Linked DNA regions of Rattus norvegicus. The protein of the gene in region 1 interacts with the protein of each later gene in a pairwise test. Links are inferred from orthologs where the notes say so. Each region holds a gene or a part of one and is shown on either strand. Other genes may lie near its edges.

Region 1 (4,579 bases):
AATCCCAGCATCAAAACAAAACAATTTTTAAAGAGTTTCAAAACACAACCAAGTCTTCCCTATGTCTGTACTCTTGAAACGATCAGGATATTTGCAAACCGAGAACGTGCAAAGATTCCATGAGGGAAGATAATTTATATAGACACTTAAGACTGTCTGTGAAATACTGTATTTGATAATATTTAAACATGATGCATTTCTACTAACACACTGTACTAGTACATGTATTAGTATTCTCCTAATACACCATGAGACAGCTGTACGTGGCCACACAAACCAGAAAACCAGGTTTCACCATTTCCAACCCTCCCTCCCAAACATTCTTGAGCTGACATTCCTAAGGACAAAGGTGCTGTTATTTTTCCTCAGTGGTGAGTTCCAGGCTAGACACCATTAGCTGCTTGGGGCAGTTTTCAGTGACTTAATTAGTTAAAAGCCAACTCTTGAAGAATGCATCTCGTGGAAGCATTTTCTGTTCCAGAAGCCGGTTCTGGGTCTTGTATTGCTCTAGTCTCTGGCGTCTTTTTTCACTAGTTCTTGATTGACTCAGGGCTTCACATTCTCATGGTGGCCTATGGCCACCTGTTAGGTGTTAGGCTGTTAGGCTGGGTTCCCCATGGTTTCCTATGTATTGGCTATCACTGTTCAAGTGTCTTGGAGCGTAATGGGTCTTCCCCTCTCATCCGTGAGAATGGAGGTCCCAGCCCTTTCTGTTGGGCAGAACTACTGCATGGGCTCAACCGCTCCCAAGAATCCTCACAGAAGTTAAGAGTAGTCTTAGATCTTAGCTGTTATGATAGGCTGGAGGGCCGTGTGTGTGTGTGTGTGTGTGTGTGTGTGTGTGTGTGTGTGTGTGTGTGTGGGTGGTGGTGGTGGTGGTGGTGGTGATGAGGTGAGTTCATGGGTGCTGAGTTAACCCAGAATGTGCAATTTTTTCTTCAGTGCCTATTTTGGGCTACAATGACTGGGAAACCTGATATTCCTCAGGCCACTCACAGCACAGCTACTGTCCCACGCGGGTCTTTCAGTGGCAGCCTCCCACTCACTCTGATAGTGCTGCACCCTTCGCCCCGCCCCGCCCCGCCCTCCGCAGCCTCCCAGGGTGGCAGCCAGCATTCCTGGACAGAACTAGGCTCAGCAGGACCTTTCCTGCAGCAGTTATGGGGTAAAGCGAGGCTTCATCCGGGCCCACGCGAAGTTTCCCAACCGCGGGGCAGGTGGGTCCTGCACGAGCACAAGCTGGTGGGTGCATGGTGTGTGTGGGTCGGGGGGGAGGGGGTCTCCCTACCCTTCATCCAACTCCGCCGCACTGCACCCTCCTGAAACGCACCCCCACCCCTTAGCCCGCGTGTCCCTTTAATGCGTGTCCCTTTACTGCGCGCGCTCGTCAAGGTCCTCGCGTCCCTCCCTTCGCGCCGCCGTCGAGCCTCGATTTCCCTCCTCCATTTCCCTTCGCCCTAACCCGCCTTTACCGGGCCCAGGACTCAGCTGTCACTTTACTTTTGCGCGCGCACCTTACTGGTCCCCCCCGCGCGCGGGCACGCGCCGGCGGGGGCGGGGCCAAAGCGCGTCGCGGGCTCGCGGGCGCGGCACCGCGAGGCCGACGTGGGGCTCGCGCTGTCGCGGGCTCTCGGGGCAGGCAGGGCGAGTGCGCGCTTGGGAGGGGGCGCGCGCGGACGGCGGGCGGCGGCGGCAGCGGCGGCTCGCGGAGGCGGCGGCTTCACTCCCGGACTCGGCGTCCGAGCCGCGGCTGGAGCGCGGGCGGCGCCGCGAGGTGAGTAGGCGCGGGCGGGCGGGCGTGGCCGCGGCCGGAGCCCCGGCGTAGGGCGCGCGGGGACCCCACGCGGCGAGGGGCAGACCGGCGAGATCCCCGCCCCCGCCGCGGCCTCGGCTCGGGCGCGCGCCCGCGGCCCCGCAGGCCTCCCTGGCCCTGCGCGTGCCCGCTGGGGCCCGCGCGCCCCTCCCCCCTCCCGCAGAGTGTGGCCCTCCTTCGCCTTCGAGGACCTGTCCTCTCCCCTCCCGCGCCCACCGCAGCCAGGAACTAAGTCTCCGCAAAGTCCAGGATGGATGTCGCGGTGCAAAGTGCCCGGCTGTCCCGAGCTCTTCCCTAATTGCATAATTGCTACACGAGGTGTCCAAGCGGGCGAGGGCCCGCCCGGGAATACCGGCTGAGTGTGTGCGTGATGCCCCGGGGTGGGGGGCGTCACACTGGTCTTTTGTAATGCCTGGTGCTTGGCACAGTTTGGCTCCGAAGCCGGTTTTCCTCTGGCTTCTCTGCAGCCCCCACTGGCCTGATTGGAAACTGGATTCCCTCTGTCCCCCCACCCCCACCCACCCCCTTCTTTGCTCCTAATGTTTTGATCCATTTGCCTTTTTCCAATTCTAATGAACATAAAGCCTGGCTTCTTGCGTCTTTTCCCACGACTAACCAGAAATGCCCCATCCATCTTCCCTAAAGGAAATTAAGGCCGCATTAGAGAGACATCATCACCCTGGGCTTGGTGGCAGCTCTTGGACCCATTTGCTGGTTTGCAAGACTCTTATCGTCCAACCCTGCATTGTGTCATTTTGAGGGTCTACTCGAGTATTTCCATTTTAAAGTACAAAAGAATTTGCTAGGACTTGCCTCTGATTGCCTTACTGTTCAGAAAGATTTTTAAGAGCTCGTCTTAGTTTTAAATCCTTGCATTTTGAAAAACACGCTCTAGAGATGCGATAACCAAGTCCGAGTCTTGGGAATCTAAATATTTGTCTTTACTCAGGCAGTCAGGATGCTCCTGGGCGCTTTGCAGTTTCGTTTGTGTGCGATGAAGATGGAGTGTTTTCATATGCCGTACCTTGAGCTCTTTCCCCTAGGGCACAGCACTTCCCCCAGTCAGGTGCTCCACTTTTATTTTTCGAATAAATATCTTTTCAGTCACTTGGAAAGCTGGGTAGCGCTACATGATCGGCACATAACATACAACATTTCACGTTTTGGAAAAGTTCAGAAATCCCAAGTAGAGAAACCGGGACGTCAACGACAAGTTCACATTTTCCTGTCGGAGCAGCACAAATGAATTCTTGCTTTCCTGAGCTTTTGAAAATCTTGATATTTGGTGATTTGGATAGTAATGTGGACTGCAGTACTGTTGCTTTCCTCGCTGGGATTTGCAGCCAGATCCTTTAGTTTTTCTGAAACAGGCTACTTTCACTCTCTATGTGCTGGCAGGGAATTTCCAGAACCCCATGACATCACAGAGCGTATAGTCAACAAAGCTTAGAAAATGAGTGTTTCAATTCTTAAATGTAATGCATTTATGTTTAGTTAGGGACTACGGTTTGCTCTGAATCTGAAGTAAAAATACCACTTGAGGTGCCTTAAGTTCTTTGAAACTGTCGTTGGAGGATGCATTTGTGTTTAGTGAGATCCCTGGAACCTAGCTTCCTTCTAGATTAGGGAATTAGCTCTTTAGGAATTAATTTTAAAATGCTAGTAAAGATAATATGTGGAAGTTTTAATGCAGGAGCCTACTCATTTATACTTTAGAGAGACGAGACACCAATTTGACACAGAGTTAATTTGAATTATCTATAGAGGGTCTCCTCTCATATGAATTAATTGTCCCAGAGTACACGATCACGTTGTCCCCTTTTTTTCTGTAATCCAGCAGAGAGTCTCTTAACTTTTGACATTTGAAAATGGGATACAGAGCCTTTGTTTCTGAATGGTTTTTGTAGTGCTTATCAGTGGCCTCAGGAGGATCTGTCATTAGTAGGTAAAACTTTGGGTCAGATAAGGTATCTTAGATGAAAAGTAGAAACGACTTTTTTAAGCTGTAAAACTATAGAAGCGATGCTTCTGTTTAGCCATTTCAGAAGATTCTGGGGAAGTGTTCTGTATGGAACCCAGGCCTTAACATACATGCTTGGCAGGCGCTCTGGAACTGAGCCCCATCCCCCAGACCTTCAGTAGTAGTTTTAGTCCTTTACTCTTCTGGTCTTCTGCTGTAGTCATGGATGTTTCAGTTTCAGGTTGTAGCCCACTACATCACAGAGTGGCCTATTCAGTAACTGTAGAGTTTACACATTATCAGGTGTGCACATAAAGAGTATCGAAACGAGTGCGCACTTCACGACTGACTCAGCACACAGCAGTCATAGCCGTGGCCGCAGTGTAAGGGAGCCACTTTCCTGCAGTTCTGGTGTCTGCCGTGTGATGGATTGCCTCAGGTTTCAGATACATAGAACAGTTTCTCACTGATTTCACATCTCTTAAGAGTGCCCACGGTGTCCTGCCCCTGAGAGCATCTAATCCTAAGAATGCTTCTTTCTGTTTCCCTATACACCTGCTTATCCAGCAAGCTATAGGGTACCTACTTACAAGGCTTTTAACTTTAGGTATATTTTAGCTCAAAGAAGCAAGCTGAGAAAGAGTACAAATATTAAACCCAAGTAATGAGAAGGTTAAAGTCAAATAAGAAACCCTAAGAAATATGCTCAGACTTTTTGAGCTAGACGGGAAACATAACTGACATAAAATTTCAGTGTTCTATTAAGTGACTTTATTGCTCATAAAAGGTGTCTTAGCCATGGAGAA
Region 2 (3,551 bases), on another chromosome or scaffold:
GGTGATTGTAATTATGCTCATCATCACTCCACTGGTAAATGGATTGGCCTGAAACTTTGTATACTTTCTGTCTGTGTTTCCTAAGTGTTAAGGCCTTTTTTACGGTATTCATTACAGAGAAAAGAAAGTTAACTGTAACTTGAAGTAGCTGCCTTTTGGATTGGCTTATTTATGTAAAGATTACTGTTTAGTAGTTAGTGCCTATTGCCTTGTGCTAGGCCTTGTGGGAGTAGCTAGTTGAGAAGTGGTAAGGTAGGTGCCTATTGAGGACTCTGAACTACCTCAGGGACTCAGCATGTAGGAGCATTCATCTTCCTCTGTTTCTCCCTAATTTCTAACCATCTTTTAAGGCCTAATTCTTTTCCAACCCTTTCTTGAGCTATTTACCTGCTCAAATTCCTAGTAATATCTCTTCTTTGATCTTACTTTGTTACTGGTTTCTCATCCATAACAGCAGTTTTTAATTCTGTATGAGCAGAAATCACTTGCCATTATCTTTGGATCTTAGTATGTAACACAGTTGCACATAGGCGGTGCTAAAGTATTTTCTGACTCTTTGGCTTAGAAATGCTTTAGGTATGCCTTATACAAAATTTTTTTCTTAAACACAGAAATTCAAAGCAGACTATAGTAAGCTTGCTTATTCTGGCACACTTGCCAGAAGTTTTGGCTTCTCTTTGGTTATTGGAGATTATCTGGTCTCAAAGAAGAGGGTCTTAAAAGGGTACCTTTCAGGCCCTAAAGAAAATTGTTAGCATGTAAGTTGTTCAACAGCCTCACTGTTCATTCAGTTTACTCTCTTACAGGTACTGCAGAAGGAGAGGCTGGGTACGTTCCACTCTCATCATGTCTGTCCCACAAACAAGCACATCTAAAGGGAAAGTCATGCTTAAAGAGTACAGTGGGCGCAAGATTGAAGTAGAACACATTTTTAAATGGATAACTGCCCATGCAGCTTCTCGGATCAAAACTATATATAATGTTGAGCATTTGAAAGAAGAATGGAATAAAAGTGATCAGTACTGGGTAAAAATATACCTGTTTGCAAACCTTGACCAACCACCAGCTTTCTTCTCTGCATTAAGTATAAAATTTACTGGAAGAGTTGAGTTTATTTTTGTTAATGTGGAAAATTGGAACAACAAGAGTTATATGACAGATATTGGTATTTATAACATGCCGTCATACATACTTAGAACTCCTGAAGGAATTTACAGATATGGAAATCACACAGGTGAATTTATATCCCTTCAGGCCATGGATTCATTTTTACGCTCATTACAACCTGAAGTAAATGATCTGTTTGTTTTGAGTTTGGTTCTAGTTAATCTTATGGCTTGGATGGACTTATTTATTACACAAGGAGCAACCATCAAGCGATTTGTGGTTCTCATAAGCACTTTAGGGACATACAATTCCCTATTAATTATTTCTTGGCTACCTGTGTTGGGCTTTCTACAGCTCCCTTACTTAGATAGCTTTTATGAATATAGTTTAAGATTGCTGCGATACTCTAATACAACCACACTGGCTTCGTGGGTAAGGGCAGACTGGATGTTTTACTCTTCACACCCAGCCCTGTTTCTCAGTACATACCTTGGACATGGTTTGCTAATTGATTACTTTGAGAAGAAGAGACGGCGCAGCAACAATGATGAAGTTAATGCGAATAATTTAGAGTGGTTATCAAGTCTGTGGGACTGGTACACCAGCTACCTCTTCCACCCGATTGCTTCTTTTCAGAACTTTCCTGTAGACTCTGATTGGGATGAAGACCCTGACTTATTCTTGGAGCGGTTAGCTTTCCCTGACCTTTGGCTTCACCCTCTGATACCAACTGATTATATTAAAAACTTACCAATGTGGCGGTTTAAATGTCTTGGGGCTCAGTCTGAAGAAGAAATGTCGGAGAGTTCTCAAGACACTGAAAATGACTCAGATAGTGACAACACGGACACTTTTAGTAGTAGTAAGGATGTATTTGAAGATAAACAAAATGTTCACAGTTCTCCAGGAAGAACAAGTCGCTGCGATACTGAGGCTTGTTCATGTGCCAATAAATGTTGTCAGACCAGCCCATGTGAAAGGAAGAGGAGGTCATATGGCTCACATAATACTAAGGAAGATATGGAGCCGGACTGGCTAACTTGGCCTGCTGGTACGCTGCACTGTACTGAATGTGTTGTTTGCCTTGAGAATTTTGAGAATGGATGTTTGCTGATGGGGTTGCCTTGTGGTCATGTGTTTCACCAGAATTGCATTGTTATGTGGTTGGCTGGGGGCCGACACTGTTGCCCTGTTTGCCGTTGGCCTTCATATAAGAAAAAGCAGCCATATGCACAGCAACAGCCGTTGTCAAATGATGCTCCATCTTGACCATGTGCAGTTGTCCAATAAGCTTTGAGTATCTTACAGCTTGCCTTTTTAATGTTAGTCACAATGTTTTTGTGGTTTGAAGTTTAGTTTAATGTTAGTGCAGTGACAGGAAATACACATTATGCTGATGTTGATGACAGAATTTATTTGGATGCCTTGTGTGTCAATTGAATGCATACTAAACTGTAAAAAAATTATTTACAGCATTGAAAATTCAGAAGTTAATGGGTTTTTTGTAAGCACAAAAGAGGTATGGTAGAAATTTATCTTAGCAAGACTTTATGAGGCAGGATCAAATCCTAGTGGGCCTGAGCTGATTTCTTACCCTAAATGTTTTTTCCCTTTTTACAATCTCTGTCCAGCACCTCTTGGTTAAATAATGTATGCTCTGAGACATGAAATTAAAACAGATCTATAAAATAAATTATTTTAAAAGCAGAAGGTTGTAGGTTTTCTGATCTTAAGCTGTGATAAGGTAACTGGTTTTTGTAGGTGTTTTGCTGGATTGCTAGTTTCACGGGTCATTGCACCATGATGTTGAGGTGGAGGGAAGGATAGGAATCCTAGTGCTGACACTGGCTCTGAGTAGTGGTAGTTGACCTCGCAGCCTGATAGCTTGGATAGGAAAGGATTTTATAGGGGCTTTGAAAAATTAGTATTTAGCATATTCATCTAAGTAAAAGCAACTATAATTTATTGTCATACAAGGACTACCTTGTATGTTTAACTGACTTTTTTATTTTGAAAATTTTCAGTGCTACAGGAAAGCTGAGAATATAGCTAGTAGAGTAAATATCTATTTCTCTTTCGTGCACCATATTTGTATTTTATTACATTTACTTTAGCACCTTTTTATTACAATTTTAATATTTCTTCTTTTTCCCTCTCAGTCTATTGAAAGTAAACTTGAAACATGATGCTTTACCCATAAACAGTCACTACACCACATTTTCTATGAATGAGAGCTTTCTCTTACATAGTCAACACCTAATCATACCCTTGAAATTTAATATTGATTCAGTAATACCTAATACATGCTCCTTGTTTCCTAAATGTCTTTATATCTTTGTCTGTCTGTGTTTCATTCTTACTGCGAATATAGAGAAGACTCATCTGTTGGATTCAGTCTCCTTTTCTTCCATCCTGTCCTCTAGAGAAACTGCTCTGTGTGTGTG

What was found.
Region 2: the proteins of Ube2e2 (region 1) and Rnf103 interact in a two-hybrid assay, tested with the Homo sapiens proteins (2 studies listed by BioGRID). The link is inferred for Rattus norvegicus from reciprocal best matches to the Homo sapiens genes UBE2E2 and RNF103.

Annotation. Positions count from the first base shown.
Region 1 is NC_086033.1:9,409,956-9,414,534, forward strand, and holds the start of Ube2e2 (ubiquitin-conjugating enzyme E2 E2), read left to right. Parts: upstream 1-1,664; 5' UTR 1,665-1,774; intron 1,775-4,579.
Region 2 is NC_086022.1:105,098,023-105,101,573, forward strand, and holds the end of Rnf103 (E3 ubiquitin-protein ligase RNF103), read left to right. Parts: intron 1-791; coding exon of another isoform or gene 792-806; coding exon 807-2,376; 3' UTR 2,377-2,814; downstream 2,815-3,551. UniProt on the Homo sapiens protein: Acts as an E2-dependent E3 ubiquitin-protein ligase, probably involved in the ER-associated protein degradation pathway.